Linked DNA regions of Macaca mulatta. The protein of the gene in region 3 purifies or fractionates together with the protein of the main gene of each other region. This does not show direct contact. Links are inferred from orthologs where the notes say so. Each region holds a gene or a part of one and is shown on either strand. Other genes may lie near its edges. The genes, in order: MTCH2, SLC6A8 and OCIAD1.

Evidence for each region.
Region 1: the proteins of OCIAD1 (region 3) and MTCH2 purify together in Homo sapiens (affinity purification with mass spectrometry; 3 studies listed by BioGRID and IntAct, with this or other methods). This does not show direct contact. The link is inferred for Macaca mulatta from reciprocal best matches to the Homo sapiens genes OCIAD1 and MTCH2.
Region 2: the proteins of OCIAD1 (region 3) and SLC6A8 purify together in Homo sapiens (co-immunoprecipitation; 3 studies listed by BioGRID and IntAct, with this or other methods). This does not show direct contact. The link is inferred for Macaca mulatta from reciprocal best matches to the Homo sapiens genes OCIAD1 and SLC6A8.

What each region holds. Positions count from the first base shown.
Region 1 is NC_133419.1:17,947,947-17,952,321, reverse strand, and holds the start of MTCH2 (mitochondrial carrier homolog 2), read right to left. Parts: upstream 2,942-4,375; 5' UTR 2,795-2,941; coding exon 2,708-2,794; intron 1-2,707. Other genes in the region: AGBL2 (cytosolic carboxypeptidase 2), read right to left, coding at 3,155-3,162. UniProt on the Homo sapiens protein: Protein insertase that mediates insertion of transmembrane proteins into the mitochondrial outer membrane. Catalyzes insertion of proteins with alpha-helical transmembrane regions, such as signal-anchored, tail-anchored and multi-pass membrane proteins.
Region 2 is NC_133426.1:159,927,393-159,929,799, reverse strand, and holds part of SLC6A8 (sodium- and chloride-dependent creatine transporter 1), read right to left. Parts: intron 1,894-2,407; coding exon 1,759-1,893; intron 1,672-1,758; coding exon 1,568-1,671; intron 1,478-1,567; coding exon 1,353-1,477; intron 1,033-1,352; coding exon 920-1,032; intron 807-919; coding exon 669-806; intron 591-668; coding exon 488-590; intron 403-487; coding exon 302-402; intron 222-301; coding exon 51-221; coding exon of another isoform or gene 13-50; intron 1-12. UniProt on the Homo sapiens protein: Creatine:sodium symporter which mediates the uptake of creatine. Plays an important role in supplying creatine to the brain via the blood-brain barrier.
Region 3 is NC_133410.1:48,365,927-48,369,243, reverse strand, and holds part of OCIAD1 (OCIA domain-containing protein 1), read right to left. Parts: intron 1,815-3,317; coding exon 1,662-1,814; intron 1-1,661. UniProt on the Homo sapiens protein: Maintains stem cell potency. Increases STAT3 phosphorylation and controls ERK phosphorylation. May act as a scaffold, increasing STAT3 recruitment onto endosomes. Involved in integrin-mediated cancer cell adhesion and colony formation in ovarian cancer.

The DNA.
Region 1 (4,375 bases), on a different chromosome or scaffold from region 3:
CACGCATGTAATCCGAGCACTTTGGGAGGCCAACTTCTGATCTCACCCGAGGTCAGAAGTTCAAGACCAGCCTGGTCAACATGGTGAAACCCTGTCTCTACTAAAAATACAAAAATTAGCCAGGTGTGGTGGCGGGCACCTGTAATCCCAGCTACTCAGGAGGCTAAGGCTGGAGAGTCGCTTGAACCTGGGAGGCGGAGGTTGCAGTGAGCCAAGATTGTGCCATTGCATGCCAGTCTAGGTGACAAGAGCAAAACTCCGTATCAAAAATAAATAAATAAATAAATAACTCCTGTCTATAGTGCTACAGGAATAGTGCTACCAAGTAACCATTTTTATTTTTATTTAGTTACTTATTTATTTTTTGGAGGCAGAATTTTGCTCTTGTCACCCAAGCTGTAGTTCAGTGGCATGATCTAGGTCACCACCTCCTAGGTTCAAGCGATTATCATACCTCAGCCTCCTGAGTAGCTGGGATTATAGGCACCCACCACCACACCCAGCTAAATTTTTGTATTTTCAGTAGAGAGGGGGTTGTGCTTTGTTGGCCAGGCTAGTCTTGAACTCCTGACCTCAGGTGAACCACCTCTTTCAGGCTCCCAAAGCGTTGGGATTTACAGGCGTGAGCCACCGTGCCCGGCCCAAGTAACTATTTTTAAAACTGAGCATTTGGGAATTTCACCAAAACTCCTGGGCTACTTGGCAACACAAAGATGTTGTGAAATCAGAATTAAGGGTATTCAAAGTTTTTGGGGCAAGAGCTCTGAACATCACTAGAAAACCCCATCTCCCAGAGAAGTACTGAGTAGTGGGTTCTTTTTTTTGTTTCTCTGAGGCTGAGTCTTGCTCTGCCGCCCAGGCCGGAGTACAATGGCATGATCTTGGCTCACTGCAACCTCCACCTCCCGGGTTCAAGTGATTCTCCTGCCTCAGCTTCCCGAGTAGCTGGAATTACATGCACGCACCGCTGCACCTGGATATATTTTGTATTTTTAGTAGAGACGGGGTTTCACCATGTCGGTTAGGCTGGTCTCGAACATCGACCTCGTGATCCGCCTGCCTCGGCCTCCCAAAGTGCTGGGATTACAGACATGAGCCAACGTACCCGGGCCCAAGGGTTCTTACTGGATATACTGCAACATGCTGTCATCTCAAATGCTATCTAGCCCCAAATGTGCCAATTCTGTTTTAGATGTTACAGTACATTCTTTTTTTTTTTTTTTTTGAGACGGAGTCTTGCTCTGTCACCCAGGCTGGAGTGCAGTGGCCGGATCTCAGCTCACTGCAAGCTCCGCCTCCCGGGTTTACGCCGAGTCTTGCTCTGTCACCCAGGCTGGAGTGCAGTGGCCGGATCTCAGCTCACTGCAAGCTCCGCCTCCCGGGTTTACGCCGTTCTCCTGCCTCAGCCTCCCGAGTAGCTGGGACTACAGGCGCCCGCCACCTCGCCCGGCTAGTTTTTTTGTATTTTTTAGTAGAGACGGGGTTTCACCGTGTTAGCCGGGATCGTCTCTCGATCTCCTGGCCTCGTGATCCGCCCGTCTCGGCCTCCCAAAGTGCTGGGATTACAGGCTTGAGCCACCGCGCCCGGCCTACAGTACATTCTAATCAGTCTTTGTTCTAGGTGCAAATCATTTATTTGCAATAGCGTTTAACGAACAGAATCTGAATTCACACGGGTCTACTCAGCAAGAAATAATCTGGATTCCCAACAACTCAAGAATAAGAAACGTGGCCCTCTCTAGCGTCTTGCCTAATTTTTATAGAAAAGTAAACGGCAAGACAGGGGTTCTAAAAACTGTTCCATTCCTAGGCACAGTGCATGAGGGAATTATGTCAACTCTCAGTAAAAGCATATAAAAAAAATGACCTGCCCGTTACAGGGATATTCAGGAAAGGAACTGGAAACACTAAGTCTATCACTTACTTGGCCTACCTGCATGTGAATATAAAATACCACATAAGAATTATTTGACAGTAGATTAGAGATTAACTCCCATGTTTAAACTCGCTAAAACTCCGCTTCACTAATTTCCAGCTCTGACCAATGTGATTTTCATTGTCAGGAGCCACATGGGCTGCTGCTGGAAAGCGCTCAATGCATCCTTCCGAAATCTGACAGAGCAACCCCTTCATTAACACTTCTGAATGAGCTCCTTGTGTTTCTCTGGCTATCCGGTGCGAAAACCTCGGAACAGAAAAGCAGTAGTAACAGTAGCATAAAAAGAAAAGAAAAAAAAAAGGAATAAAAAATAAAATGTTGGTTCCCACCTAACTTCACATTTGTCTTCAACTGAGTATTTCGTGTCTTGCGTCTGAGATTTTGGGGGGAGGAGCGGTGAATGTGAATTTCGGAGGGGCGAGAGGGAGGGTTCGGAAGCCCTTGGTGGCAACCGGCCAGGATCCACCTCAGAGAAGAAGAACCAAAGTTCAGAGGATCCGCCGGGCAGGGCAGGGCAGGGCAGGGTGGCAGTTGGCTAAGGGAGGAGTGGGCCTCAACGCTGGGCAGCGGGGCGAGGGCTCGGAGAGGCCCCCAAGAGGGGCCGCGGGACCGATGAAGCTGTCCCTGCGGGGAGGGAAAGGGCAGCGGAGGAGCAGCAGCATCTCGGGAGAATGAAGGGCCCGCAAGGCTGAGCCGATCCTCAGGCGCCCTGAGCAGCAGCGACCGAACGGGGCGCCAGGAGGGGTAGGGAGCGGCGACGCCTCATACCTGGATGAGCACTTTCACGTACATAAGCGGCTGGGACAGGATGGTGAGACCGGAGCCCAGGAGCACCTGACTGGCCGCGTCCGCCATGATGGCACCCGCGGACGGACAGACAGACTGAGCCACCAAGAGACCCGGTGAGCCGGTCCTGGGTCACGTGCCAGGGCCGCCGGTTTCACTGGCCCGCCCGCGGCGCGCGCGCACGCACGCACCAGCGCGCGCCTCTCCGCCCAGTCCCCGCCCCCCCTCCCGCCCGGAGAAACGGCAGGCGCTCGCGAGGGGGCGCTGGGGTCGGGGCGGGGCTTACGGTACACAGGCGCATGCGTTCTGCCGGGGGCTCGTCCTCCGGGAATGACGGTTTCTCTCGCACATGCGCGTCCAGGCCGCAAGTGTCCGGAAACAGAAGGGAGTGGCAGAGGGGGGAGTGTGACCCTGACGGCAAAGGCAAAGTCAGAGGACTGAAAAGAAATGGAAAAGGATTCTTCGTTATGCTTCACCTCTGCACTTGCCTTTTGAGCATCATCAACATAGGGTTCAAAAGATATTCAGCATCAGAGCCGTTAACAGTCTAGTGGCTGACAAACTCTTAAGTATAGCAAATAATCCGCTAGCGAGTGGCTCTTCATTCATTTATTCGTTTAATTAATGTTATCTTCTCAGAAAAACCTTCTCTGACCATTCTAAAATTACCTCCCCCTTTTCTTTTTCTTTTTTGAGACGGAGTCTCGCTCTGTCACCCAGGGTGGAGTGTAGTGGCGTGATCTCAGCTCACTGCAACCTTCGCCTCCCGGGTTCAAGCAATTCTCCTGCCTCAGCCTCCCTAGTAGCTGGGATTACAGGCATCTGCCACCACACCCGGCTAATTTTTGTCTTTTTAGTAGAGACAGGGTTTCACGATAATGGCCGGGCTGGTCTCAAACTCCTGACCTCGTGATTCACCCACCTTGGCCTTCCAAAGTGCTGGGATTACAGGAGTGAGCCATCGTGCCTGGCCACCTCCCTCTTATTTTCTCCCACATTGTCCCCTGTCGTAGCATTATCACTGAAATTATGTCTCCTCCACTGGAGTGGAAGCTCCATGAGTTCAGGAATCGTGACAGCCTTTGTTCACGGTTGTGTTTTCAGTGCCCAGCACATACAAGGTACTCAATAAATATTTATTGCACAAGTGAGCAAATACTTCAGTGCCTACCGGTCTACAGGCTATCAGAGGCAAAAGTGAAAAAGGCATTGTCCCTGCTCCTTCAGCCCCAGCTCATGTGTTCTATCAAACAACATTTGGCCAATCTGAGCTTGGAGCAGAATGAAGTACCGCAGGGAAAAGACTTGGATTTGGATCCTGGCTTTTCCACTGCATCCATTTGTCATTTTAGCCTCTTTAATTTCCAGTGTTTGTATCTAAATCTAACACTACTGTCTACCTCTCAGGGTTATTATGAGCATTAAGTGAAGTTGTGCATAGGAAAGGATTTTTTTAAAAACTGTATATTGAAATACAGATGTTTGGCCGGGCACGGTGGCTCACACCTGTAACCCCAACACTTTAGGAGGCCGAGTTGGGTGGATCACCTGAGGTCAGGTGTTCAAGACCAGCCTGACCAACATGGTGAAACCCCATCTGTACTAAAAATACAAAAATTAGCTGGGCATGATGGCAGGTGCCTGTAATCC
Region 2 (2,407 bases), on a different chromosome or scaffold from region 3:
TTGAATGTTCACAGCAGGGGAGGGGAGGGTGGGCCAGGCGGGAGCCTTACCTCGGCCATGGTGCCCTTGGCCCTGAGGAGGCAGCCCAGGAGGTGCAGCGGCACACACAGCATGGAGGACAGCGCGAAGGCCCAGCCCATGGCCTCGCCCCACCACGGGTACACGTAGGTGTTGTTGTAGACCAGCGGCTCGTAGTACACAACGTTGAAGATGAAGATGCCCTACGGACCAGAATGCTGCGGTTAATGGGGCCCCCACCCCGCCCTGCCTCGCCCCCCACCCCACCTCCCCTAGCCCTTACCATGCAGACCAGCGGGGTGAAGAAGGACCAGCACCATTTCATCCAGGGGCAAGGTCGGTACCCGATCATACAGGCAATGTCGTCCATGAAGCGGTCCGCTCCTGCGACAGGAGAGGCGGGAGGGCCGAGCTGGAGACCTGCCTTCCCTGCCACCATCCCCCAGCCCAGCCCTCAGCCATGACCTACCATACACCCAGGCCACCACCACGCACTCCCAAAATGCCTGCCAGAGCAGGGTGGTGCCACTGGCCGAGTAGTAGTCAAACAGCTGGAAGACGTACATCCCGCCCTGGGGGACAGAGCCCAGTCAGGGAAGGATGGCGGATGGCCACCAGAGGTCATAGGCAGACCCCCCCACCCCACTCACATCAGTCACCATGGAGAGATCGATGACAAAGCAGAGGGCACAACAGAGGGCCACAGAGATCTCCCTTTGGAAACGGAAGTAGTAGGAGGCCGGGAGGAGGTCGAGGAGGCCGGTGATGAAGCCTTCCACACCTACAAACTGTGGCCAGGGCAGCTCAGGCCGAGCCCCGCACCACCCTCCCACCCCTTTCCTTGCCTGCAGCCCTCACCCTGCCGCCCTCCTGGCTCCCTGTCCCAGAGCTCCATGCAAACCTGGCTGTCGAGACCAAGCAGCAACAGCATGAAGAAGAACAGGGCAGCCCAGAGTGGGGCCACTGGCATCAGTGTGACAGCCCGCGGGTAGGCGATGAAGGCCAGGCCCGGCCCTGTGGGAAAGGTGCAGGCTCTAGACCTTGCAGCTGACGTCCTGCCCTGTGTGCACCCTGAGCCCTGCCTGCAACACTCGCGCCCATGCCCTCTCCTGCCGCAGGAGCTGTGAACCCTGGGTCGTGCAGCAGGGGCTGGGAGGTCCTTTCTCCCTCTGTCAACATTGACAAATCCCAGGACCTGCCCCCGCAGGCCCACAATCTGACAAGTTCCGTTTGAATCCTTGTCACTTTTCAGCATTTATATTGTGTGTTCATGTACATCATGCATCTGGGTGGCAGTTGCTGCTCTGGAGGCGGGGCTGGGGGTAGGGCCCTACCTGACTCTGCCACCTTGGAGATGTGCACACCCTGCTCTGCAGCCATGAAGCCCAGGATGGAGAAGACCACAAAGCCAGCAAAGAAGCTGGTCCCGCTGTTGATGAGAGCCAGGATGATGGCGTCCCTGAGGGGTGGAGGGGCCAGAGTGGATGGGTTAGGCTGCTGGGCAGGGCAGGGCAGGGCAGGGCACCAGTAGTAGGGCGGTGGTGCTTACTTGTAGCAGTTGTTGTTGAAGCGGTTGTAGCTGCCCAGGGCTGTGAGGGCCCCCAGGCCAATGGCGTAAGAAAAGAAAATCTGGGTCCCCGCATCTATCCACACCTAGAGGAGGTACGGTGAGCACAGGCGTGAGGGGCCTGTAGGGCTCCCCTGCAGCACCCTGCTGCAGCCTCCCCACCTCCACCTCACCTGAGGGGACCCCAGCTTGGACCAGTCAGGCTTCAGATAGTAAATGATGCCGTCCAGGGCGCCAGGCAGCAGCACTCCACGCACCAGCAGCACGACCAGGACCACGTAGGGGAATGTAGCAGTGAAGTACACGATCTGGGGGGCCAGGCTGCTCAGTGGGCGCCATGGCACCACCTCCCTCACACCCCCATTCCCGGCGCCTCCGGTCCCCCTTGTGGACAGGTATGTTCAGAGGTCCCCATTCTCCTCGGAGCCATGGCTCCCACCAGAGGAAGCTAGGGGCAAGGCTGGGCCCTGGCAGCCCTGGCAATTGCGGGGGGAAGCTCTCTGGGCACCTTGTCTGCAGGATGCATGTCGTTCGGGAGCAGGTGAGCCTCTGGGAGCTCTCCTCAGTGGGGACAGGAGGCGTGGAGCATGTGGGGAGTGAGGGCTGTGTGCGTGTGTGGGCAGTGCAGGTGTGGGAGGCCCAGACAGGGAGCGGGGTATTGGATCAGGGCCGGGTCCCCTCCTCTTCTGCAGAGAGGTGGGGGCTGAGCAGGTGGAGAGTGGAACTGGGCCAGGCAGAGGCAGGCGAGATGCGGCCGCCACACCATCTGCCCCCTCTTCCCACATGCTGCTCTGGGGACCTTGTCCCCCAGGGACCTGGCCA
Region 3 (3,317 bases):
CCCTATTCAAATGCCCTCTTCCTTTAGAGGTAAACTTATATCAAAAAATTTACTTTGGCTGATGTATAGCTATTTCAAAGAGACTTAAAAGAAATCAGCATTTAAAAATTCACAATTATTTTTCCAAAGTAGTTTTTTTTGCTTTTTTCCTCTTTAAGAAATGCCTTAGAAGCTGGTGTATATAGTATATAACTCTTTCAATTTCACAAATATACCAGAAAAGTCAGGCACAGTGGCTCCCACCTATAATCTCAGCATCCTAGAAGGTCAAGGTGAAAGGACTCACTTGAGCCCAGGAGTTTAAGACCAGCCTTGGCAACATAGGGAAAAACCCACTGTACCAAAAAAAAATTTTAACAGCCAGGGATGGTGGCATACACCTGTAGTCCCAGCTACTCGGGAAGCTGAGGTAGGAGAACTGCTTGAACCCAGGAGGTCAATGCTGCAGTAAGCCATGATTACAACACTGCACTCCAGCCTGGGTGACAGAATAAAACCATCTCAAAAAGAAAAAACAAACAAACAAAAAAACACAGAACAAAAAAATAAACAAGAGAAAAACCCAAACGTACAAAGAAAATCAATCTCATTACTCAATCATTCTGTGGTTAGGCCACAAGTGGTATTACAGCACAATGCCAACCTCAGGTCACTACAGCAACTTATGTGATAGGTGTATCATTAGGAAAATAAGACTATCAGATCTCCAAGGAGATTTTTTATAAGAGAAAAACAGTCAAATGAGTGTATAATCTCTACCTTGTGTTACAAAACTAATCTTGCTGTCTTAAGTCTTACTATTTGGAGTTCATTATTTTCTTTTTTTTTGGACACAGAGCCTCTCTCCATCATCCAGGTTGGAGCGCAGTGGCGTACTGTCAGTCACTGCAACCTCTGCCTCCTGGGTTCATGCAGTTTTCCTGCCTCAGCCTCCCGAGTAGCTAGGATTACAGGCATGCACCACCATACCTTTTTTTGTATTTTTTTTTTTTTTTTTTTTTTAGTAGAGACAGCGTTTCAACCATGCTGGCCATGGTGATCTCCAATTCCTGGCCTCAAGTGATACACCTAACTTGGCCTCCCAAAGTGCTAGGATTTCAGTCATGAGACACTGCGCCTGGTCTTGACTTCAGTATTTTCTAACACAAAATGGCTTTTGGAACACCTTAAAAATGGAAGAACTGGCAGGTGCAGTGGCTCACGCCTGTAATCCCAGCATTTTGAGAGGTTGAGGCAGGTGGATCATGAGGTCAAAAGATCGAGACCATCCTGGCCAACATGGTGAAAACCTGTCTCTACTAAAAATACAAAAAATTAGCTGGGCGTGGTGGCAGGTGCCTGTAGTCCCAGCTATTTGGGAGGCTGAGGCAGGAGGATTATTTGAACCCAGGAGGCAGAGGATGCAGTGAGCCAAGATCGTGCCACTGCACTCCAGTCTGGGGACAGAGCAAGAGCAAGACTCCGTCTCCAAAAAAAAAAAAAAAAAAAAAAAAAAGAGGAAGAACAGATAACTGTAAAGTACTATTTTAAAAATATTTTACTTTAGTTAACTGCTTGAAGAGTTAAATCACATATTAATTAATTTTTTATAGTACTGTTTTAAAGTAATGTTTTAGTTTCCAATCCTAAACAGTAAAGTGATTCAGACTAAACTATCATACCTTCTTTTTTTGGCACTCTTTCATGCATAGGCCTGACTGAGGGGTCAGTCTTTTGTGTTAAAGATACTTCATATGACTCTCTGTTCTTATTCCTTAATTCCTCATATGTAATATTTTTTCTTTTAGGACTTTCTTCAAGGTTGGGATCAGGTCCTAAAACAACAAACAGTTAATAAATGGTAATAAAAGGATTTGTATAACTCTAAAGCAACTAAATTTTACAAATGCTCCTTACCTACAATCAAAATAGTATAAAGAATCAAATTATTACCACCATTTCACAGGTACTATACTTTCACCAAGATAATTATCAAACTGAAATCTACTTCTGCCTATATTTTTAAGCTTTTATTTCTAAAAATTAAAATGGACATCAAAGATTTTAAAAACTAAACCACAGCCAGAAGAAAAATAGGTATCATAATATATAACCGTACAATTTAAACTCATTAAAATACCAGTGTTTTAAACTGGAGTTAGTCATACTGTATACAGAATTAAAAGAGAAAGATATTCTACTAGTGACAACTGAATAACACTTGACATAGTACAGATTTTACTCAATATATACTTAAATAGTCCTATAACCACAGACTCTATGAAAACAACTCCAGCTATTTTCAAAAATCATTTATTTTACCATTTTATGAAATTTAAACAAAAATACTTGAAAACAGGCCAGGCACAATGGCTCACGCCTATAATCCCAGCACTTTGTGAGGCTGAGGCGGGCGGGTCACCTGAGATCAGGAGTTCGAGACCAGCCTGGCCAATGAAAAAAACCCCATCTCTACTAAAAACACAAAATTAGTTGGGTGTCATGGCACACGCCTGTAATCCTAGACTAAGGAGGGTGAGGCAGTAGAACCACTTGAACCAGAGACGAGGAGGTTGCAGTGAGCCGAGATCGCGGCATTGCACTCCAGCCTGGGCAACAAGAGCAAAAATCTGTCTCCAAAAAAAAAAAAAAAAAGTTGAAAATAATTACTTGAAAAGTATAAAACATAGCCTTTAATCAGAATATGTATTGTTTTCATTCTGGTCTAAAAGATGCAACATTAATGCAGAAGAAAGTATCAACTGTTATTTTGGCCTGGGAATTAAAATTTATTCTTTATTTCTCCCAGAGAGTCAAAATGTGAATACTACATATTATCATAGGGTCAAATGTAAATATAATGCAGTGGTTCCTCCTAATATTGGCTGACAGGATCAAATAGTGAACACAGTTTGTAAAGTTTATAAACAGCAACAAAGGCCATATGAACATTAAAAAAAAAAGCTGCTAACATTCAGTGAACAACTATTTAACTTACAAAGTCTTACATACCACATACCACACCAAAAGTACTATTTTTCAAAGATGTTTTCAATGAGACATATAAATTGGGCATATAATTTTAATATTAATTTTTTAAAAAATAATTTTTGTGATACTTTTTTAGAACTCAAAGGTAAGATTCCAGTGAATAATTAGAATTTTCTAAGCAACATAACTATACATTAAATAATGTTTTCAACCATAAGCTTTCTTTTTTTTCTTTTTAAGACAGAGTCTCACTCTGTTGCCTAGGCTGGAGCGCAGTGGCGCGATCTTGACTCACCAGAACCTCCGCCTGCTAGGTTCCAGTGATTCTTCTGCCTGAGCCTCCTGAG